Linked DNA regions of Cricetulus griseus. The protein of the gene in region 5 purifies or fractionates together with the protein of the main gene of each other region. This does not show direct contact. Links are inferred from orthologs where the notes say so. Each region holds a gene or a part of one and is shown on either strand. Other genes may lie near its edges. The genes, in order: Ap1g2, Ap1s1, Eps15, Ap1s2, Ap1b1 and Ap1m2.

Region 1 (4,241 bases), about 110 Mb from region 5:
TACTATGTTCTCTCTTCTCTGTCCTTCTGCCCCTAACAAAGTTCCCTGATCCCTACTCTATGTAAGAACTGCCTGTACACTAGGGTGATAGAACAATGACAGACTATATCCTTCCTTCACGGAATTCATTGGTTTAGGAGACTTCTGAATAATAAATGGTCATGTGAGGAAAGTCCAGGGCTGATGGACCCTAAGGAACCACATGCCGAAGGGGTGCCTCTTACCTGGGCCAGCAAGTCATTCATGGCCTCACTGCTTTCTTCATGGTTCCGTCCCAGGATTCGAAGCAGACGAAGTATCTGGACCTGAGATTGGATTAGAAGGTTTATAGGATAATGTCGTGGGCCTGAAGTGAAAACACCTAACACTGTGGGCAACACCGAGGGTTCTGACTCCCAGCACGCCCCCACCCAACAGATCCCTGGACCCTGGGAGGAGATCAGAGTTGTGTAGAGTCAGGGGGGGTTGGAACAGGCCTTTTTTGATTTGTTTTTCGAGACACGGTTTCTCTGTGTAGCCCTGGATATCCTAGAACTTGCTTTGTAGACCAGGCTGGTCTTGAACTTGCATAAATCCGCCTGCCTCTGTCTGCCTCCCAAGTGCTAGGACTAAAGGCATGTGTCACCACACCCGGCTTTGGAACAGGCTTTTTATATGGTTACCAAACTGGATTTTCTGACTTTTTGGTAGCTACCTTTGATTCCCTATCCCCAGTCCTAGGATGACTAGAGCAATCATGAGCTTGCCAGTTGGACTGTGCCAAAATGGAAAGTGACTACCAGCCATGGTCTTCCTGTGAAGCCTTTGCTGTTCCAGGGATACAAGTACATCTCAGCTTACCTGTAAGAAGGGATCACTGACTCCACAGATGCTATGCTCTGTTGAGTATCCTGTTGTCACTAGAGTCCGGAGGATCTGTACCAGCTGGGGTACCACCTGGAAGAAGGGCACAGGCAGCCTTGTCTGAGGGTACCTCCTCTCTTCTCAACCATCAGCCCCGATTCTTCACCCACCTCCCGCCTTTGCCTGCCCCACGGCCTGCCCCTTCACTAGCCCACCTTGCGAAAGTGCCTGAGGGCTGCAGGATTTCTTTCACAGAGCTCCGTGATCAGCGTGGTGGTGCCCAGCAGGATGCCTGGGGTCAGGGTGGGGCAGTGAATGGCGGGCCAGGCCATGGGACAGTCTACTACACGTGTGTTTGTATGTGTGCACCACCCTTGTCCGATGAGCAGGGCTTCCTGATTTGCTTTTCATTTCATCTATCCATAGCCAGACCTGAAGTGGACAGTGGAGAGCCCTGTGCCCTTACCATGATGGCGCTCATGGAGCAGTTTGGCACAAGGTGGGAGGAAGACGCTGGAGAGCTCGGGGTCCTTCCGGATCATATGCACAGCGGTCAAAACAGCCTGCAGAAGTCAAGGGCCTCAGATAGGGCCACCAAGTAAGTCAGACTCCGCACCTCTCCTATGTGGCAGATTGGGAACACCTTCTGAAGAGGCAGATGTCTAGAGGTCTACATCTCACCTTCTTTCGTACATAGGGGCTAGGCTGCAGGAGCAGCTTCTCCACCTCGGTGGCTAGGTCTCGGCACATCTCAGCAGAGCCCATGGTGCTGAGAGTACACAGGGCCAGACCCTGAACTGGCTGAATCCCTTGGCTCAGGTCACTGTAGGGTTTGGAAGGACGGTCAGTCAAGCCAGGGGAAACCAGTTCTTCCCAGTACTGATAGCAGGCAGCCCTCTGGGATTTTGCGGTTCCCACTCTCCCAACGCCCTGATTTGAAGCACCCCAGAGCCCTCTCACTTCTTGATGCTGTTGGTAATGAGCAGATGGGCATCGTGCCTCTCATCCAATAGAAGCATGGCCCCAAGGTAGCCCACCCTCTTGTCTGTGAATCTGGGGGAGGCGATCAGTTTCAGGCACTCCATCTACAGGGAAGGAGGCAGGCCAGGAAGAGTAGTGTGAAACCACAGCACTAATTTTGCGGCATCCTCCTCCTTAAGGCCAGATTAACTTGTGAGGAAATCAAATTTCATCACCCTCTCTTTAACCAGAGGCTTAATTGGAGATCCAGATGATGGCAGGCAGGCTTCAGGGACCTGTGTAGGAGTGGAGGCTGGGAAGGTGCTAAGAACGGGGCTGGCTAGTAGAGTAATGGATAAAAGGCTCAGAAACTAAAGGATTTAGCTGGGCGGAATGTGGTATGCCTGAAAATCCCAACACTGAAACCGAGGGAGGGATTTTCGCCAGTTCTAAGCTAGCCTAGGCTACATAGACAACCTGTCTCAAAACAAAACAAAAACTAGAGAAAGAAGCAAACGGGATACAAATACACAAAGGGGCCCATTGATCATCTTCCTCAAGTTTTGTAGCTATCCCGGGTCAGTACCTGTCCAAAGTGGGCGGGGTAGCCCAACATGTGGACGTAGAGCAATTTGGCCAGCTGGCGATGCCTCTGCAGAGGGTCCCCATCGCGGAAGGAGGCCCGAATTTGAGCACACTCCTTCTGAATCACTTCCCGTTCCTGGGCCTGAGTCTTGGCCCCGCGTATCTCTTCGATTAGGTCCTGAAGTTTCAACGAAGGCACCACCATCCTGGGGGCAGAGCCCGAGAGTGGAAAGGCTTTAACCCATTCCAGCCAGATAGCTAGAATTGCTCTGTGCCAAGATCTTCAAGGGCTTGAGTCACACCACCATCCTAAAACTGTGCCCACATTTACCTCCCACCTGGAACCGAGAGCGACCATCCTACCTCGCAAGGACATCCCCACTACGCATGCGTCCTCGCCCCACCCCGTGTCTTTTTCTACTGAGCCTGCGCTAAAGCCCAGTCCCTTTCTTGCTTTCCTTCCCCGACAAGTTTCTTACCTCTAGTTTTCCTTCTGGATCCCTGAACTATTTCTTTTGCGAGATTCCCTGCTCCCCTTCCCATCTCAGGAGGTATCAGTTTCCCGGTCCCAACCTCACCTGGCTTCGGTGTCAACTCTGCTTCTCTACCCCCACCCAGCACTTCCTGGTATAGGACGCGGCTGGGCTTGGTGGTTGGTCTCTGTCCTTCCCTCTTCCCCGCCTCTACTACGGGACCCCGCCCCTCTAGAGCTGCAAGACTGAGCAGCCTTGAGATTTCTGACCTCTGGCCTCAGTCTTTGGAACTTTGGGAAGGAGCCTCGAGTTGTTACAGAACTGTGGCTCCCCAAGGGGCCTCCTTTATTACCCACCCATCAGGTGACACTCAGCTTGAATTTGAAACCATCGCACTCCAAAGGAGATAACAGTCCCCCCCTTTTTGGAACTTTTTTATTAATATACTTTTTTTTTGTTAAATTTCTTTGTATTTTTTTTTCCTGCAAGACTTGTGTTGGCGGCACTGTTGTATAACGTCAATCCCAAATTCCATGATATAGAAATCAGAAGTAAAGGTTGAGAAGGGAGGGAGGAGGAAGGCAGGCCAGGGAGTAAACAGAGGTTGACTAGAAAAATAAGAAGAGTGTGTGTGGTGGGCATTCCCGGGCAAGGCCATTCCTTGAGGAAGGGGGTTGGCAGGCAGCTTGCCTCTGCCTCATGCAGGGAAGGAAAGTTCCCCTGGGCTCTACAGTTTCCTCTTGTAGAGCTTTCTGTCCCCAGAGGAAAAGCTAGTAACAGGGATCAGCCATATCTCAAACAGGGCTCTTCTTCACCCACTTCTCACCTGGGGTTGGCGCCCGCCCACCTCTGCCCTGCCTGGGAAGTGTGGGAGACATTGCTTCCTCTGACTCCCCTTTGTGTTCCCATCTCACAGGACTCTGATGTGATGGGCTGGAAACAACTAGACTTGTTGCAGCTTCTGCTGCCCTTCCGGCTCTTATCTGACTTGGCTCTATCCTCTAGAAGTGCTCCCCACAACTGCCAGAACTGAGGAGCGGAGTCTTCGATTGCTCCCGTGCCTCTAACCCTCGGCAGAAGTGTCTTCTTCAGGCCCCTTAGGAATTTAATCAAAGGCCACAAGTGAGTCCAGACCAACCAAATAAATTTTTAGGGGGCAGAAAAGGATAGAGAGGTGAGTGGCAGAGTCTGAGAGGAGTGGGCTTGGTGCACCAAATAGTTTTTGTTGCTTTTCACATTGCACTTGGCACAGCATGCCATCCTTGGGGGTTGGGAGAGGGACTGGCTGAGGAGCAAAGGACAGGGAACATCTAGGGAGTTTTCTGCTGTTCACTCCCCTTTTCTCCCTCGGGGAAGGATCAAGTTAGGCAAGAACTTAGC
Region 2 (3,944 bases), on a different chromosome or scaffold from region 5:
TTGGAGCTCTCCCCGACTTCAGAGAGACAGAGTTATTTCTCAGTCGTTTTAACCCAGTGTGAACTCCAGAGCAATTCATGTACACTGAAAACAATAAATGGATGGAGTGTCACCTTTTATAGACAACTTTGAGGTCCCTCCACTCCAGGAAGCTGCACATCTTGGGCTTTCGAGCCAGCACAACCTGCATGAGCTCCCGGACCATTTTCTTCCTCTCCTTGTCCGAGGTGGCCAGGTACCATTTTTGCAGCCGAAGTTTCCCCTGCCGGCTGAACAGTAGCATGAATCGCATCTGGAAGGGAGGAAGGACCAGAGCTGAGGGGCAGAGAATGGGTTTGGAGCCTCTTTCCTTGCATGAGCGCAAAGCCCCAGACTCAGCGGTATTCACCACTACCTTCTTCAAAACTTCTGTCCCAGCTGGGTAGAGAAGAAGAATGTTCTTCCTGAGGGAAAGTCAAGCCTGCTGTGTGGGTTCCAATCCTGGCCCTAGTAGCTGAATACAACCTCAGGCAAATTAATTTATACTGGGCCAGCAAGATAGCTAAATTGGTGCTTGCTATTAAGCCTGAGTTCAATACCCATGACCCAAATTACAGAAGAGAACTGACTCCCACGAGCTGTCCTTTAACCTCTACACTCTTGCCATGGCAAGCACACATCCACACAAATAATAAGCACAAAAACATTTTATTACGTGTGTGTGTGTGTGTGTGTGTGTGTGTGTGTGTGTGTGTGTGTGTGTAGTTCAGAGGATAGCTTTTGGGAACTGGATCTCTGCTTCTACAATGTGAGCTCCAGGAATCAAATTTAGATACCCAAGCCTTGGCAGCAAGTGCCTTTGTCTGCTGATCTATCTTACTGGCTTTGTAAAAAAAAAAAAAAAAAAGTCTTTGAACCTCAGTTTCTTTACTCGAAAGACAGAAACCATAAAATTACCTTCCTTATAGAATTCTTTTAAGATTTGCTTTTCTTATTTTTTAAAGATTTATTTTACTTTATGTGTATGAAATACTCAATACTCACATGCATACATGTATGTGTCACACACATGCCTGTTGATACCCCAGAACCAGGGTTATAGATGGTTATAAGTCACCATGTGGGTGACAGGAACCAAACCCAGGTCCTCAGCAAGAGCAACACATGCTCTTAAGCACTGAGCCCTCTCTCTAGCCCACTACTATTTTTAGTTATGTGTAAGTTTATGTTGTGTGTCTATATACTGGGTATGTGCAGATGAGTGCAGGTGCCCATGCAGGCCAGAGGCATCAGATCAGGAGCTACAGAAGGTTGTGAGCTGCCTGATATACGTGTTGGGAACTGAACTGGTTCTTCTGGAAGAGCAGCAAGTACTCTCAATGACTTAGGCATCTTTCCTGCATTAAGGAATTCTTTTTTTTTCTTTGCTTTTTTTTTGGTTTTTCGAGACAGAGTTTCTCTGTGTAGCTTTGGAGCCTATCCTGGCACTCGCTCTGGAGACCAGGCTGGCCTCGAACTCACAGAGATCCGCCTGCCTCTGCCTCCATAGTGCTAGGATTAAAGGTGTGTGCCACCAACGCCCAGCTATTTAAAATTTTTAAGGACAGTTCTCTCCTTCCACTGTGAGGACTCCAGGGATTGAATTCAGGTTGTCAAGTACCTTTAGAAGCTGAGCCATCTCTCTGGCCCTCTTCTCTTTCTTTCTTTCTTTTTTTTTTTTTTTTGAGACAGGGCTTCATGTAGCTCAGGCTGACCTATATTTCATATGTAGCCAAGGCTGCCCTTGATTTTCTGATCCTCCTGAGTGCCTGGGTTACGGGTCCCAGACACCAGATCACGAAGTCCCTCACAGAGAGTCCAGTGACCCCGATGGCTCTCCTAGGGAATGTCTGTGGAATGAGAGTCCTCATTGCTTCCTGGATCTAGTTTCTTCCCAGTTGCAGGGGGCTCTTGCTTCCAAAACCTGAACTCAATTCCCAGCAAACAGATCTGTGAACACGGCCAGGGCTGGAATCTCTGGGTGTGTGCGGCAATTCAGCTTCCAGGCCATCAATTAAAAGGAACAAAGACCCCCAGAAAGCAGGGGCGGTGGCTGGTGGGGGCCAGGGGATGTGAAGAACTGAGGGAGCCGAGTGCGGGCAGGAAGACGGAAGGCCTGGGCTGGGGAAGGAAACTGGACCGCGGTGGTGGGAAGGTGGGAACGGCAGAGTCGGCGCGTCCTCCAGAGCCCAGGCTCCCCGACTACGGAGTCGGGGGTCAGCTGTGGAGACCCGGAAACCGCCCCTGCCTCCCTCCCGCCTCCCTCCTGCCGCACCGTGCGCTCAGGCGCGGGCCTCCCGGAGGGGGCTCGGCCACCGCGACCCCCGGGGATCCCGGGGCCCCTCTCCGCGGGTGGCTCCCCCGCCACGGCGCCCGGGGCGTCTCCAGGACAGGACCCCGTGTCCCGAACGCTGACCCTGCTCGGGACAGTCCCGCCACCCTGCAGCCCAACCAACGAGACTCCTCCCCGCCCCTGTCCCGAGTGCCATTTCCAGCTCCCGAGGTCGGCTCGCCCAGCCGCTCCGGGAAGTGGATCCTCAGCGGACCACAGGGAAGACAGGGCGACTCCCACCAAACGCTGCCCCCTCCGGACCCCCGCAGGTACAGCCCACGCCCCTCGGGTCCCCCGTCCCCTCCCTCTCAGCACTGCCTACCATCCTGCAGCCTCCGGCCCGGCACGTCCCTCTCCGGCCACCGTAGGAGCCCGCTCCGCGGCCCGTCGGATTCTTTTCTTTTCCCTCCCTCTCCGCCTGAAGCCCCGCCCCCCGGCCTCGCCGGCTCCCCCGCGCGGCCGCATTGCGCAGGCGCCAGCGCTGCCGCGCTCTCCCCCTCCCGGTCCCACCCAGAGGCGGGAGGGGCTGAAGGCGGAGAAGCGGAAACCATGGCAACCAGGTCCTTGACTTCAGCTTTGCAGAAGCTCGGTTGTCATGGTAACAAGGCTGTCCTGGTGGGCTGATTGGAGGATGGGAAGGGCGGAGGTAGGGGACAACGAGGGCCTTGAGCTCTGGAGCATTTGTAGGGGGGGAAAGGCGGGAAAAGGGTGAGAGGTGGATGCTCGATCTTTAGAGTTTATGAAGAAGCAAGGATGATTCCGGGAGCTGAACACGGTGTGCAGAAAAGGAGGAAAACATCACTCAAAGCGGGGTGGTGCGGGAACAGAGTTCAAGATCAGCTCAGGGCTACACAACAATATTCTGTCCCCAAACAAGCAAGGCAGGCGCGGTGGTGTACACCTGTGATTCCAACGCTTTGAAGGCAGACAGACAGGAGCAAATTGTAGCTCAAGTTCAGCCTCAGCTAAGTGGCGTGCTCGAGAGAGCCTATCTTAAGCAAAGTGACACAAAACAGTGCCGGTGTGATGGCTCCAATCATAGAGATGCCCCCCCCCCCATAGAAGGTGAAAGGGAATGACTGACCCTGCAAGCTGTCCTGACATCCACACAGTCAAGTACCCTGGTTTGTACATGCTCCCACGCAACACAAAATACATATATGAAATGTAACCTTAAAAATTTTAAATACCCGGGCGTTGGTGGCACATGCCTTTAATCCCAGCACTCGGGAAGCAGAGGCATCAAGGCCAGCCTGGTCTCCAGAGCGAGTTCCAGGACATCCATGGATACACAGAGAAACCCTGTTTCGAGAAACAAAACAAAACCAAAAAAGTAAAACAGTATAGAGCTTTAGTGTTGAGAACTTATTAGATGCAAGTGTCTTTTTTTGTTTATATATAATACATATATATATAGTGTGTGTGTGTGTGTGTGTGTGTGTGTGTAACTGGATGTGAGGGTATACACCTGTAATACTGTAGTTTGGAAAGCAGATGTAGACAGATCAGAATCAGAGTTCAAAGTTATCCTTGGCTACATAACAAGTTCACATTCTGGGCTGAGGCACTGTGTCAAAACAAAAAACAAAACCCC
Region 3 (4,167 bases), on a different chromosome or scaffold from region 5:
GTGTACACTGGTTTGGAGAGGAGATACCTTGCCAAGAAGTGAATTTGGGATGGGACCAGGGCTTTGTGCACACAGGTACCACTGAACTGCACTGTGGTCCTACACATTTGTTTTTAAGTGAACACTCTAAGAGAGAAAGGTAGCAGACAAGGGAAGTAGTCTTGTCCTGCTCCCCAGATTTTGGCTTTAGGAGGAAAGGATTTATTACTTGCCTTCATTTTCAACATGACAGCAGGTAGAAAGGCCTTGGAGTTAAACTGTAATCTGGCTTTTTAGTCAGATGTTTGACTTCAGGTAAGATAATTTCTTTTTTTGGAGGGGTGTTCCTTTTTTTTTTTTTTTAAATTTCAGACAGGGTCGTATGTATCACCTATGTATCCTTGGCTGTTCTGGAACTCACTATGTAGACCAGGACTGTTGGGAAGCTCACAGAGATGTGCCACCATGCCCAGCTGGGTTTCATCTTCCTCATTTGTATAGTTTTTTTTTTTTTTTCTGTTTCAAATCCTCTAGTCACGCAATTAAAAAAGAAAGAAAGAAAGAAAGAAAAGAAAAGAAAAGAAAAGAAAAAAGCCGGGTGGTGGTGAGGCAGAGGCAGGCATACCTCTGTGAGTTTGAGGCCAGCCTGGCCTACAAAGCAAGTTACAGGATAGCAGGACTACACGGAGAAAAACCTGTCTTGAAAAACAAAAACACAAACAACAACAACAACAAAAACAACAAAAGGGCTTTTAGGACTGGAGTGGTAGCGCACACCTTTAATCCCAGCACTCTGGAGGCAGAGGCAGGTGGATCTCTGTGAGTTCGAAGCCAGCTTGAGGCTACATAGAGACACCATGTCTCAAAAGCAAGCAAACAAAAAATTAAAGCATTTAGTGCAGAGCCAATCGCACATAAATTAGTATAGTTTAATATTATTATTGCTAAACCATTGCTATCATTACTTAGTACCATTACTCTCGTAGTTCCCACAACCCACCTGGACCTGGGTATATTTTCCCGCACTTTTCAGGAACAGCAGCCCAGAAAGGTAGGCGTTTTGTCTCAACTTCTCAGGTCTCTGTGGGGGCCGCCTCCGCCGCCAGTCCGCCCGGTGCGCCATCCGCACCGGGTTTTCCAGGGCGGCCGGGGTCAGGGCCTGGTTCCGCGCCCCAGACACCCGCGCCGGGCTTTGCGCGCCGCCGCGGCCTGTGGGGCGGGGCGGCGGCGGGGCGGGGCGGGGCGGGGCGGCGTGAGGAGGGAAGTTGTCGAAGTTCGGGGAGACGCCCGGCCGCCGGCCTCGCCTACGGCCTGTCCCTCCGCCTCCTTCCCGCCCCGGGCCCCCGTCCGCCCGTCCTTCCTTCTTCCCGTGGCATGATGGAAACACCATGGCTGCGGCAGCCCAGCTCTCCCTGACACAGGTAACGCCGCCCGCCGGTCCGCCCGGGTCGACCCGCCGGGTTTCCCCAGCCCTCCCCACCGCTCTCGCGCTGGCGCGGCGGCGCCCCGGGGCGCGCTCGGCGGAGCGCGTGAGGAGCGCGGGCGCGCCCCCGCCCCGAGGCGCGGCCGCCGCGCCCCGCCCGGGTCGCCGGGCGCACGGCTCCGCCCCGCGCGGCTCCCACCCTGCCGCCTCCGCGGGTCTCCGCTCCGCTCCCCTCCCGGTCCCGTCAGCGCTCACGCTCTCGGGAAGTTTCTCTGCGGGCCTGACGGCCGCCAGGTGAACTCCCGTAGGGCTCGCGCAGTGCGAGGCTCGCCCTCGGCGGAGCGGGGTTCCCTCAGCTTTGCTCGGCTTTGGCGTGCGGGAGTGACCGCTGCCGAGATCCCCCCGGCTCCCCGAGTCATCCTCGCTTCCAGAAGTCGCAGCCTGCCCAGGTACTTGCCCCACTCGCGCCTCTCCCTCCTGGCAGGTTAACTTCTGCTCAGATCCCCTTGCAGACTTTCCCACCCGTGCGGGGCAGTCTCGGATCGCCGACCCAGTGGGTAACAGCGCCAGCCTTCAGCAGGTGGGGTGGCCCTGTCCTTCGCCGTCTGGGATCCCCCGGGGGACATAACTTTGTCCTAGGACGATTTCATCCAAAAGCTGTTTTCGATCTCTCTGAATCGCTCCCCCGTCTCGCTATTTCGTCCCCCCCCACCCCCGTTTTCCTTCATAGTCAAGTCCTAGAGTTTCATAGGGAACTCTTGAACATATTCACTCAGGAGAGCCGGAGTTCTCCGTTTCTTTAAACCCAAGAGCAATCCGACATCCAGGAGAGTGAGGTGCCATACACCTGCCATTCCATCCATCTTAACTGCCCAGAAGTTTGTCCTCCCCAGAGCTGGTAACTGCCCACCTCAGCTTTACAGCCTGCCCTGTGATAGCTCCCTTCCATCTTGTCTCTTCGGCCTAGATTTACTTGACTTAAGCTAAAGTTTTTACACTAAGGTAGGGCATGTGTTTGGACAGTAGACTCTTACTGTGTTACGATGAAGGAGTCTTATGATTTTTTCTTTTTCTTTTCCCCCTAGCATTTTTGGATAGAAAAGAAAAAAAGTATCTTCCCTAGGGACCAGGATGGAGATTTTACTTACTTTGAGACAGGGTTTCATGTAGACCAGGCTGTCCTTGAACTCAGTGAGTAGTCAAGAATAAATTGAATTTTGGCTCATTCTGCCTCCATTTCCCAAGTGCTGGGATTATAGGCTGGGCCACTATACTAAGTTTATTTATTGCTAGGGATCAAACCCAGGACTTCATGACGGCTAGGCAGGTACTCTACCAACTAAGCCACATGCCCAGAAAAAGTGATTATATATATTATATATAATATATATAGTCTCTGTCTCCGTGCCCCCCCCCACACATCTCTTCAGGTAAAAGAGTTTCAGTGTACAGGAATAGCCTCACAAACCTCACTGCACATTTATTTCCTGTGGGTCATTATGTTTTGATCAGCAGATAACAGGGAAAACTTTTAAGATAGAGCCTTTAACTGGTCTAGTCTTGGTCATTAATCTGTTTGGAACGATCATTCTGAAACTCAAATTTGGGGAATGGAAACATTGACTTTTGGGTGTTGACTTTCTTAGTCTAGTTAGTGACCTGCCTTAAACATGATCTCTGTTGGCAGTCTGTTCTGACTCTGTTGGCTAATTCTGGCAGTTTCCCCTCTTAAAGAATTCGTTCCCTTGAAGACTTCTTAGTTGTGTGCCTACTTGATTTTCTCCTTGGATGGGACTGTGTTTTTAGTTTCTGTTTACTATCATTCATCTCTGGAAATTTGCTTCAGGCTCTTACTTTTATAGTCACTTTCACAATTTACATATGTTCTTGTGGTTATATATTTAGGTGTTAACATGTATGCAGAATAAATGCTGAATCAATAAGGGGAATTGAACTTTAGTATCCAGTGTTTGAATTTATATTAATAATTCAAATAAGTCAATTTAGAATATTTTGATATTAAAATACCAAGATTCAGTGAGATTATATTGTAAAGGCACAGAAGAAAACTGTTTTTAAATATTTACTAATGTGTCTTCCTTTGAAACCTAGTAAATTTAGCCTGGCGTTGGTGGTGTATGTCTTTAATCCCAGCACTTGGGAGGCAGAGACAAGCCGATCTCTGTGAGTTCAAGGCCAGCCTTGTCTACAAATTGAGTTCCAGGACAGGCTCCAAAGCTACAGAGAAACCCTGTCTCCAAAAACCAAACCAAACAACAAACAACTCCCCCCCCCAAAAAAAAAAATCTAGTAAATTTGTGGTTCTTAGATCGAGTTAATTAATGTATATGAATGTTTTGCCTGCATGTATATATGTATATGTTGGCATGTGCATGCCTGGTGCCCATGTAAGTCAGAAAAGGGTGTCAAATCCCCTGCAGCTAGAGTTATGGATGGTTATAAACCATCATGTGGGTGTTGGGAACCCAACCTGAGTTCTCTGCAAGAGCAATAAGTGGTCTTAACCAGAGTTAAGTCTCTACAGCCCCTGGTTTTTAACGTGTGTGTGTGTGTGTGTGTGTGTGTGTGTGTGTGTGTGTGTGTGTGTGTGTGTGTGTGTGTGTGTGTGTGTGTGTGTGTTCTGAGACAGTCTCACTATATAGCGCAACCATGGCCTTGGCTGCCTGGGACTTTGTAGACCAGGCAGGCCTCAAATTCAGTTATACCCACGTCTGCTAGGTTTAATTTTTTTTTTTTTAAGTTAA
Region 4 (4,290 bases), on a different chromosome or scaffold from region 5:
CTGAGCAGGGAAAACACATCACCTGATAATAACAAAATACATGGTTAAGTGGGAAGTAAATGAAGTTTTCAGTATGAAATGCGAGGGAGCCTATAGAAAAACATTATACACTCTGTATTTTATATATGAAACATCTCAATAAAGCTATTTTTCTTTTTGTTAATTCCAAATTTCATTTGAAAAAAAACTTTGATCTAAATATCAGATCAGGTTGGAGTTCTCTTTTATCATTTCTGAAAAAGGTAGGGAGATCACCAGAATAGGCTGAGCGACAAGTCTACGAGCTCCAACCTGCTGTTTCCTTTTCTTCCTCTGAATGGCCCCATTCATGGGCTTGTTCTCTTGCTAGGATTTTCCTCCTCCACACGGGGGACTCCTTTCACTATCTAGAAATAAGCTTAAACTTCTCACATCTTTTATAAACCCTATCCAGGATTCCAGAATACAGATCTAGCCAGCAGTTACCACCTCTTCTGTCCTTGGCAAAGCTCTCCCAAATACTCTACACATGCGGTTTCAACTTCTCTATCTTCACCTCGTTATATCACGAATTCTGTCTCTACTCCACTGACAATGTTCTGGCAACAGGGCAATGCATGAAGTGCTTACTCTTAAGATTCTAAGAGCTGTTCACTTTTACTGAATTTCATGAACAGCTGGCATTAGTGTTTTACTCTCAAATTTATCTGCTCCTGGGCTTTACTTACCTAACATCACTCCTTTGCTTCTTTCTCATTTTGATCTGCAAGCCTCCTCTTTAGCCCTTCCATCTGCACCTGAATGCTAGTGATCTAATACTTTAAGTTTAATTGTCACCTTCAAGTTCCATGCCTATGCCCACCACATCCCATCAGAGAGCCAAGTGAACAAATATGGCCATATCAACTTGTCACCAAATTAACTGAATTCTCTAGCTTACCTTTCATCCCATAAGCCAAACTCTAGAAATGGAGGTGCCTCCACTGTACTCCCTCTTTCCTTGGTTGCTATCTCTGCTTCTTGGGGTGGCCAAGTCTACTGAGACTTACCTAGGTAACAGGTCTCCTTTCCAGCCTCTCAGCTCAGGACCCAATTATCATGCAGTCCCTCACTGATCCTGCAGGTGCCAGTCTCAGCCCCTTTCACTCCCCCAGCCAAGGTTTCACAGCAATCTTTTCAAAAATGCAAATCTAATCTTTATTTCTTCCCACATCTGTTTAAAACCATTGCCTCTACACTTAAGACAAGTTGTAGCCCCATGCCCATCACTAGTATATGACCTTGGGCCAAACCACTATTCACAAATTCTCATCTTTTATAAATTGAAATTTGAACAGTAACTGTTTTTCAAATTGAAGACCTCTCTCTAGTGCAGAGAGCAGAGGCCAATTGAGCCAGGGCACAGCTTCTTATTTTTCATTCCACAAAAGCAACTGTATTTCTACTTGTTTTAGTCAAGACTCTATCCCTGTCAAAAAGATATATATTTTGTGTGTGAGAGTGTGTACGTGTAGATTGTTCTAAGGCATTTCCCAGCTTTCAAATGCTATGATTTTCCTATGATCTTTCTCAACCAGTACCAAGCCAAACACTGAATTTAAAAAACCACCCAGACTGATGAAATTCATTATGAAATAAAGATAAGTCTAAAGCACCTAAGAGGGTTTTATGTCCTATAAATCTCATTTCTTACTCTGTCACCTCCTCCACCACAAAGCCCATCCATACTTGGAATGTTGTATCAGAAAATAGAAGAAAACATGATTTCTTTCCACCTTCATTGCATTTCCTACTGTTAGTTTTCTGTACACTCCCCATACAAGAGTGTTTTATATGAAGAAATGCTTTTATCTTAAATTCAGTAAATTATTCAAAAAAGACCAAAAATGGGAAAGAAACAAGAAATGTTCCCTCTAAAAACAGTCTATAATATAAAATAAAGATGTATAGCATTAAAGAAAAAAACTGTGTAAAAAGCTAATCTATAAGTTATTTTGCAACATCACTTTTAAAAAAAATCTATCCTTGGTAAAATTATCATATCTAAGCAGAACTCCGCCATAGCAACAAGTCTATTTGAAATTAAAAATACTACTAGCAAAGAGATCTTGTATAGACACAAGTACTTAAACATCTGTATAGTGAAATGGTCTATGTGCTCAGGGTCTTTATAAGTAAGATTAATATAGAAGTCAGATAAAAGGAATGCCAAATATCAGCTACTTGATAAATCTTTATAGATTTTTTGGAAGGATTATCACACTATTATCTATGCATGCCCATTATTTATCAAATTACTTAAAAATTTAAAATAGTGTCCCTACTACCCCTGTAATGAAATGAATTCATTGAATTTTTCTAAAATGTTGACCAAGCACAAATAATTGTTTGGCTGTAATTATATAATTAATTTAATAATGATTACCCTGCTGCTAGCATTTTAGCTTTAGGCAAGCAATCAAAACAGCCATTATTTTTAAAAGGAAAGTTTTCCTTTAAACTAACTTATTTCATTGAAATATTTGTTAATCCTTGTTGATTGACATAAAAAGTCTGCAGTTTTCTCATTAGAGATAAACCTAATGTTTGATCATATTTCACCTTTCTGATAAATACAAAAATGATACCTCTTATAAACAATCTTCAGATCTCTCCACTCAAGGAAGCTACACATCTTAGGTTTCCGAGCTAAAACCGTTTGAACAAGTTCTCTTGTGATCTTCTTCTTCTCTTTGTCTGAGAGTGGGACATACCACTTCTGCAGCCGAAGCTTTCCCTGACGACTAAAAAGCAACATAAACTGCATCTGTTAAGATAAATAAAATCAAGATTACATACAATTACCTAGGAATTAAGAGTTAAGATCACATGGTTTTTCAGAGCTGCTTTGGGGATACAGAAAATACCCAGCCAAATGATTAGTAAGCCATCAACACATCTATTCAGGCTATAATAGCAGGAAATTCTTTTGGCAAGATCTTCTTACTATATGTAGGTAAGTGTAGAAGAGAGTGTATGGCAAGAAGAACAGGTGGGAATTTGGAGTGAAATTTTTGAAGAACTCTGATTATTTAAGAAACAATTTTCTCCTTGTGCTACACATTCCACACTATATGCATCAAAAGGCAACTGTAGACATCAGGTAGTTGATTTAGGTACTACCCCGAGACTATTCTAGTTCCAGGCTGAATTTCTTGCAGCCAGACTGATTATCACTTAAAGCACTCCCCTCAATTTATGCTAACATATGTAAGCAAAACAGAATATTAATCAAAAAGATCTCACAAACAACACATTTTCTTAACAAAAGCCTGATTTTTATGTTTGCATTTCACTTTTGTAAGATCTAACACAAATAAGCACTGGAGAACTGAATTAATGTAAAATGTGAAAGAGAATAATACAAGTCTGAAAGGCTTAACCAAAAGTTATTTATATTGAGACACTGCAGAGAATACTTAATTTAAAAACAAAATTTGAGACATTTCACAAAATACTTATTTTAAAATAAAAATATATTTGAATATATGCTGGATTCTAGTGTGTTTTGTACACACTAGACGGTAATTTGTATGTATTTACTTAGCATTTGCATGTCTGTTGGTCAGGCTACATTTTCTAAGGCAGGTATTTTATAATTCAACTGGTAAAAAGGAGCTCTATTGTAAAGCTAATTTGAAGGTAAATTCGGTTAGGTGTTCTCTTTTAACCCTTTTAAGTTCCTTTAACAGCACCAGCCAGTGCAAGTAAGACCCCAAGGCAGATCTTAATATTCACCACACCACCTTAAATTTGAACACCGGGAGGAGGAATTTACGTAACTAATATAAAATCAAACTGGCTCTAAATTTCGACAGGAAATTCACTTCGTAATATCCCCAAAAGGCTTCAAGAAAACATGCGGAAATTTATGGCGTAGCCATTTAACTTTAATGAAGTTAAAATTGGCTATTACCCACAACACGCTATATAATTCATTGATAGCAAAGTGCCGCCCATATAAGTTCTGAAGACAGCAGCATTCGAAGAGGACGACAAGTAAAGCATCAACTGGACATTCAACGCAAACCGTTACTAGAACTTGGGGAAGGAAACGACTGGGTTTTCTCAAATCTTGGTGACCAGGAGAGAGGGTTTGCTAACGACAGGAGTGCGCTCTAGGCTATCTGTAGCAGGGTCCAGCATCCGCCCTACCACTTTGGAGGACCAGGAAACCACGCATTTTCCTTAAAACAAATGATGTGCTAACATGGGACGAAAACCGTGGCAGAAGTATTCCTTTTCCCTCGCTTTGATTTTGCCGCAAATCCC
Region 5 (2,448 bases):
AGATGTAAATTACCACCACCTCAGCTAACACCACAGCCCCACCCACCAGCGCCAAGGTCACCAGAATTGGGAGGTAGTGTCTACAGGGCCACACCTACCAGGCAAGGGTGCATGGAGGAAGCAAAGCCTGGGAACTCTAGGCCTGGGAACAGCAGTGCAGTTTACAGAATATCCAGACCACCCTGAAGGTGTCCTCTGATAGCTCTGATTTAAGGTCTAGAGGCACGAGCTGCTGAGAATCAGTGTGCCCCTAGCCAGGCACTCAGGCACCCATATGGCAGCAGGGCCAAAGCCTGTAGCCAGTGATACTATTTCCCTATCTGAGTATATGTGTTTATATCCCTTGGTGTCTTATCTGGGTAACTTGAGGGGGTTGAGCTGAAGTTTCTAAACGTTCAAAGAACCAATTCTCACACCAGGCTCAGAGATTGTGGCAGAGTGACACCCATCACCATTTTTTAACAGCCCAGACTAGAAATGCTGACTGGGGAAGTGCCGCCAGGGCAGGGAGGTAGAGGGTCAAGACCTGAGTGGGAACAGGGGTTCTCACCGTCAAGCTGGGGTTGCCTGGCTGGATCCGTAGCTCCGCCAGTACCCAGATGCCGTTGGTCAACTTCAGAGACTGGTAGAGCATGTCCTGGCCCTCCACGCTCCTCTTGGCCACAGTGAAGATGTTACTGCTCTGCAGCTTGTTGCTTGCAGCCTCTGCAGGGTCAGACAGCCATGGGAGGCCCACATTCGGTGGATACAGGGAGAGAATTAGTGGGACACTGGGGGCAGGGCTTACCTGTGTTGAGTGGACAGTCTCTGATCTGGAACTGGGCTTCATTCTCGTTGGGAATGTCTTTCCATGTGGCCAAGAACATCTGCCGGTCTGCAGGGTGAGGAGGATTGGGTGAGAGATGGGACCCTGATAATCTGTACCCCTCAGCATCACATGGCAGGAAATGGGTCTGGTCTCCAGTGTGCCACCTGAGTGAAGCACTGGCTCTTCCACAGTTCCATCTGCTTCAGCTCACAAGGACACAGGCCTGCTCTTAAGTGCCCTCTGCTTCCTGCTTCTCCTCTCCTTTAGCCTACATCTGACCTCATCTTCTTCCACCTCTGTGGAGCCTGCTCCTTAGACATGGCTCTGTGGCAAGGATGATGAGATGCCACACACAGCCCAGGTCCAGCTTTCCCTGCATCCTTCTTGGGGTCCTGACTCCAGTACTGAGGAGACGGCGGACACCAGGTATGGTGACTGGTTCTTTGCAGCCCATGGGGCAAGCTGAAGGGTGAGCAGCAAGGCTCACAAGGAAGGTGGCATAGGCCACCTGCAAGCCAGAGATGGGGCCCTTAGGATTTGCCAAAGATCCCATCATAAGGCAAAGCTTGTTAATCCTTATTATAAGCACTAGCCTTCTCAGGTTCCCTAGCTTCAGTCCCATTGCACAAATCCCCAGGGCCCTTCACAACTCACCCATCTTCCCATCCTCCACAAAGAGGACATGCAGTGGGTATAAGGTGCTGAAGTAGAAGACATCAATGTTGTTCTTCACAGCCACCTAGGCATGGGGGTCCCCAGTCAGTCTCCAAGGCTTGACACCCTGATTCTTGGGCTTATACCACCTCTGAGACCCCACAGGCTTTCTCATAGAACCCTCCCTTGTAGCCATGCCCTTTTGTCCCCTTGCCCAGGTTCCATGTGCAACCAAGAGCACAATTCTCTATCAGGCCTTCCACAGATATGGCTAACATCCACCCCAGGACTGAGCATGAGTAGAAATGGGGTGCTGGCCCTGTGGGGACACACCTGAAGATTGTTCAGAGGCTCCATCTTCATGACTGAGCCCACTGTGTTGAGAGGCAGGGAGAGCTCCACAGTCTGGTTGGGACTGAGCGGCGCATGCACCTGGAGTGGTGCAGCAGGGGCCAAGCCAAAGCTGAAGAAAGAGAGAAGCCCCCACAGGGGTGCCAGGGGAGTGGGTACTGACATGGGATAGGCTGGCTCTTTGTGCTCTGGAGTGGGGTGAGAGGTGATGGACAAAGAACTCCTTCATCAAGTAAGCTTTTCCCAAACTCATGACCTTCCCTGCTCTACTGGCCATGTAGACAGGAGGCAAGAATCTGAGACCAGCACTACACTCCAGTCTGGTTAAGGCAGGCTAACCTCTGCCGCTGTTTATCTTAGTGCTGGATCCTGATAGGTCAGGCGGCATATCCTTGCCCTTTTCTTTAGGACCTAACCCAGTACCAGCGGTCTGGACTTCATGCTTCTCAATGGAAAACTCTGACAGTCTAGGTATTTAGTGTTTAGACCCCTAACTCAAGAGGGATCTGACCACCCCCAGCAAAGACAAGATTTCGCTGTCTGGCCTGGAACTGGCCATGCTACACAAACACCACAGGTTCAGGAAAGTCCTGCCTTTCTTTCTAGGTAAGTAAACTGGGAAGGCTGCTTCAGTA
Region 6 (3,500 bases), on a different chromosome or scaffold from region 5:
AAGGTAGAGGTCAGCAGACTGGGAGGGGCCAGAGGGTGAGGGGTGGACATAATTAATGCATCATGTGTCTTCGTAGAGCATCTACTGCTGTCAATAGACACCATGACCATGGCAACTCTTTTTTTTTTTTTTTAAAGATTTTATTTATTTATTTATTATGTATACAACATTCTGCTTCCATGTATATCTGCACACCAGAAGAGGGCACCATAGCTCATAACAGATGGTTGTGAGCCACTACATGGTTGCTGGGAATTGAACTCAGGACCTCTGGAAGAGCAGTCGGTGCTCTTAACCTCTGAGCCATCTCTTTAGCCCTGACCATGGCAACTCTTATAAAGGAAAACATTTAACTGAGATGGCAGCTTATAGTTCAGAGGTTTAATCCAATATCACCATCATGAGACATGGCATTGTGCAGTGAGATCTTGCTTCAAAAAAAAAAATAGAGGGGCTGGAGAGATGGCTCAGTGGCTAAGAACATTGGCTACTCTTCCAGAGGATTCCAGTTTGATTCTCAGCACCCACATGGAGGCTCACAACTATCCATGGCTCCAGTTCCAGGGGATCCAGTGCCCTCTTCCAGTCTCTGTGGGCACCAGGCAGGCAAACTCTGCAAATCAGACATACATGCAGGCAAAACAGCCACACAAAAATTAAGGGAAAAGGGGGTTAAAAACAAACAGAAACCTCATGCCCAGCCAGGAGCCTTGCTGGGCAGAAGGCGCCATGGAACCTCTGCTGAGAAAGCCTTCCTCTAGAGCTCACCTTGACCATGATCTCCACTCGGCTGTGGGAGAATTTCTCAATGACTGACTCAATCCAGATCAGGGGCTTGACCTGCCGGCAGACAAGAAGGCAGTTCTCAGACTCTGATGTCAGCCCTTGGTCCACTACCCACCATCTCCTTTGTGCTGGGCTCCCGGGCTCACCTGGGTGCTGAGGCGATAGGACATGAGTTCAAAGTCCCCATCCGGGGGGATGAAGGAGATGGTGCGGTCATTGTCAAAGCGTGAAAGCCTCACACACTGGTGGAATTTCACATCTTCCAGTTCCACAGACTTGTTCTTGCTGCCTGCAACTCGGAGTGGAGCAAGCAAAGTGACCCTGGGGCTGAGGAGAGCACTCAGCCCCACCATCCCTACTGGCTGCTACCTTCTGTAGGTCTGCCGAGGAAGCCCAGGGCCTGGGCTGAGTGGTGGTGGTGGTGGGGGGGCTGAAACAAGCCCAGAGTCTGCCTCCCACCCCTACGCTTCTGTTTTCTGCTTTAATTTTATTTGGAGTTTTTTGTTTTCTAAAAATTGTGGTAGGGTTTTATTTTATTTTATTTTATTTTATTTTATTTTATTTTTTTGAGACAGGGTCTAACGTAATCTTGGCTGTCCTGAAATTCCATTTGTAGACCAGGTCAGCTTCCCAATCACAGAAATCTGCCTACCTCTACCTCTTAGGTAGTGGGATTAAACACATGAGCCACCTCGCATGACAAAAATTTTAGTACTTTTAATTAGATGGAGGTTTGTGTGTTTGGATGATTGTATGTGTATGCATCTGCTGGAGGCCAAAACACGGTGCCAGAGCTCCTGGCACTGGGATTGTGAATGGTTGTAAGCCACTGGCTATAGGTGCTGGGAACTGAACTCTGCAGGTGCAAGAAGTGCCCTGAGTCACTGGGCTGCCTCTCCAGGCCCTTCTTTCTCCTTTGTGTGCATATGTGTCCTGTAAGTATATTGCACGTATGCATGTACTATATGGATTCATGTGTAAACTCCCTAACTTCTTCCCTAAATTATTATTACATGTATTTATTTACTTGGAGGTGGGGCATGCTGGTCCTAGTGCAAGTGGAGGTCAGAAAACAATTTATAGAAGTCAGCTCTCTCTCCACCAAGTGGGTCCTAGGGATGGAACTCAGATGGTCAGGTTTGCTGGCAATCTCACTGAGCCACGGCCCTTTTTATGCTTAACATTGCTGTGGGTTTGTCTAATGTGTGTGAGCATGGCTACATGGCTGCCATCCTTCTCCCCTCCCATCTTGCCAAAGATCAGGTCACTTGTTTCTCTTCTCTCATGTCATCCAATCTAGCTAGCCTACAAGCTTCTGCAAGATTTTCCTGTCTCTGCCTCCACTAAGTATAGGATTGCTTAGACTTCTTGGGGCTATAGAGATGGTTCAGTGGTTAAGAGCACTGACTGCTCTTGTAAAGGATCTAGGTTCAATTCCCTGCACCCACATGGGGGCTGACAACCTTCTATATATAACTAACTCCAGTCCCTGGGAATCTGACACCCTCCTCTGGCTTTTCTGGGCACTGCACACACATGGTACACATACATATATACATACATACATATATACATACTTACATACATACATACATACAGGCAAAATACCCACAAATAATAAACAAGTAAACACATAAATAAATGAAATCTTTAAAAGGAATGCTGAGATTTCAGATGCATACCAGCACTTCCAAGTTTTTCTGCCTGGGTTTAGGGATCTCATTCAGGTCGTTGTGTTTGTGGCCAAGTAATTTCCCTGCTGAGTCTTCTCTCTGGCCCTCTGTTTTATCTTTTAACACAGGGTGTCTCATTCAACCTGGAGAACTGGCAAACAGGGCTGGCCAGAGCACTCTGGGGTCTCCTGCCTTACTCCTCCAGTATGACAGAACAGATAAACACCACCATGCCCACTCTTTGTATTTTATTTTTGGGGACAGGGTTCTACCATGTAACCTTGGCTGTCCTGGAACTTGTTATGTAGATCAGACTGACCTGACAGAGATCTGTCTGCTCTGCCTTCTACATGCTGGGATTAAAGGCATGCACCACTACAGCCTGGCTTCTATGCCTTTTTTTGTTTTTGTTTTTTTACTTTATATGCTTTAATATTTTGCCTGTATGTATGCCTGTGTGAAGACATCAGATCTCGGAGTTACAGAGATATGAGCTTCCATCTGAGTGCTGGGAATTGAACCTGGGTCTCCTGGAAGAGCAGCCAGTGCTCTTTTTAACTGATGAGCCATCTCTCCAGTCCCCTATGCCTGCTTTTTTGTTTGTTTTCTTTTTCCAGACAGGGTTTCTCTGGCAAACAGGGCTGGCCAGAGCACTCTGGGGTCTCCTGCCTTACTCCTCCAGTATGACAGAACAGATAAACACCACCATGCCCACTCTTTGTATTTTATTTTTGGGGACAGGGTTCTACCATGTAACCTTGTCTGCCTTGGAACTCACTCTGTAGACCAGGCTGGGCTCAAACTCACAGAGATCCACCTGCCTCTGCCTCCCTGAATTGCTGGGATTAAAGGTGTGCACCATCATTGCCCTGCTATACCTGCTTTTTATTTGTGTTCTAGGGATCTAAACTTAGGTCTTTATGTTGGTGTGCAGGTACTGTACTAGCTGAGCCAATTCTTCGGTTCCTTTTCTTTCTCATTTGTATCATTTCTGCTTTTGTTTCTTTTGTGTTGGTGTGATGTTTTGAGATGGGGTCTTAT

The links.
Region 1: the proteins of Ap1b1 (region 5) and Ap1g2 fractionate together in Homo sapiens (co-fractionation; 3 studies listed by BioGRID and IntAct, with this or other methods). This does not show direct contact. The link is inferred for Cricetulus griseus from reciprocal best matches to the Homo sapiens genes AP1B1 and AP1G2.
Region 2: the proteins of Ap1b1 (region 5) and Ap1s1 fractionate together in Homo sapiens (co-fractionation; 6 studies listed by BioGRID and IntAct, with this or other methods). This does not show direct contact. The link is inferred for Cricetulus griseus from reciprocal best matches to the Homo sapiens genes AP1B1 and AP1S1.
Region 3: the proteins of Ap1b1 (region 5) and Eps15 purify together in Homo sapiens (affinity purification with mass spectrometry; 3 studies listed by BioGRID and IntAct, with this or other methods). This does not show direct contact. The link is inferred for Cricetulus griseus from reciprocal best matches to the Homo sapiens genes AP1B1 and EPS15.
Region 4: the proteins of Ap1b1 (region 5) and Ap1s2 purify together in Homo sapiens (affinity purification with mass spectrometry; 5 studies listed by BioGRID and IntAct, counting the BioPlex papers as one, with this or other methods). This does not show direct contact. The link is inferred for Cricetulus griseus from reciprocal best matches to the Homo sapiens genes AP1B1 and AP1S2.
Region 6: the proteins of Ap1b1 (region 5) and Ap1m2 purify together in Homo sapiens (affinity purification with mass spectrometry; 3 studies listed by BioGRID and IntAct, counting the BioPlex papers as one, with this or other methods). This does not show direct contact. The link is inferred for Cricetulus griseus from reciprocal best matches to the Homo sapiens genes AP1B1 and AP1M2.

The regions. Positions count from the first base shown.
Region 1 is NW_023276807.1:210,295,848-210,300,088, forward strand, and holds the start of Ap1g2 (AP-1 complex subunit gamma-like 2), read right to left. Parts: upstream 2,801-4,241; 5' UTR 2,778-2,800; coding exon 2,752-2,777; intron 2,595-2,751; coding exon 2,390-2,594; intron 1,929-2,389; coding exon 1,804-1,928; intron 1,667-1,803; coding exon 1,525-1,666; intron 1,407-1,524; coding exon 1,310-1,406; intron 1,136-1,309; coding exon 1,059-1,135; intron 937-1,058; coding exon 841-936; intron 306-840; coding exon 225-305; intron 1-224.
Region 2 is NC_048597.1:115,987,426-115,991,369, forward strand, and holds the start of Ap1s1 (AP-1 complex subunit sigma-1A), read right to left. Parts: upstream 2,801-3,944; 5' UTR 2,676-2,800; coding exon 2,673-2,675; intron 293-2,672; coding exon 114-292; intron 1-113. UniProt on the Homo sapiens protein: Subunit of clathrin-associated adaptor protein complex 1 that plays a role in protein sorting in the late-Golgi/trans-Golgi network (TGN) and/or endosomes.
Region 3 is NC_048595.1:40,533,908-40,538,074, reverse strand, and holds the start of Eps15 (epidermal growth factor receptor substrate 15), read left to right. Parts: upstream 1-1,367; coding exon 1,368-1,400; intron 1,401-4,167. Other genes in the region: uncharacterized protein LOC103159787, read right to left, coding at 980-1,369. UniProt on the Homo sapiens protein: Involved in cell growth regulation. May be involved in the regulation of mitogenic signals and control of cell proliferation. Involved in the internalization of ligand-inducible receptors of the receptor tyrosine kinase (RTK) type, in particular EGFR.
Region 4 is NC_048604.1:98,735,147-98,739,436, reverse strand, and holds the start of Ap1s2 (AP-1 complex subunit sigma-2), read right to left. Parts: upstream 2,801-4,290; 5' UTR 2,786-2,800; coding exon 2,607-2,785; intron 1-2,606. UniProt on the Homo sapiens protein: Subunit of clathrin-associated adaptor protein complex 1 that plays a role in protein sorting in the late-Golgi/trans-Golgi network (TGN) and/or endosomes.
Region 5 is NW_023276807.1:99,858,484-99,860,931, forward strand, and holds part of Ap1b1 (AP-1 complex subunit beta-1), read right to left. Parts: intron 1,926-2,448; coding exon 1,796-1,925; intron 1,548-1,795; coding exon 1,463-1,547; intron 875-1,462; coding exon 788-874; intron 706-787; coding exon 551-705; intron 1-550. UniProt on the Homo sapiens protein: Subunit of clathrin-associated adaptor protein complex 1 that plays a role in protein sorting in the late-Golgi/trans-Golgi network (TGN) and/or endosomes.
Region 6 is NC_048597.1:134,156,971-134,160,470, forward strand, and holds part of Ap1m2 (AP-1 complex subunit mu-2), read right to left. Parts: intron 1,082-3,500; coding exon 933-1,081; intron 841-932; coding exon 769-840; intron 1-768. UniProt on the Homo sapiens protein: Subunit of clathrin-associated adaptor protein complex 1 that plays a role in protein sorting in the trans-Golgi network (TGN) and endosomes.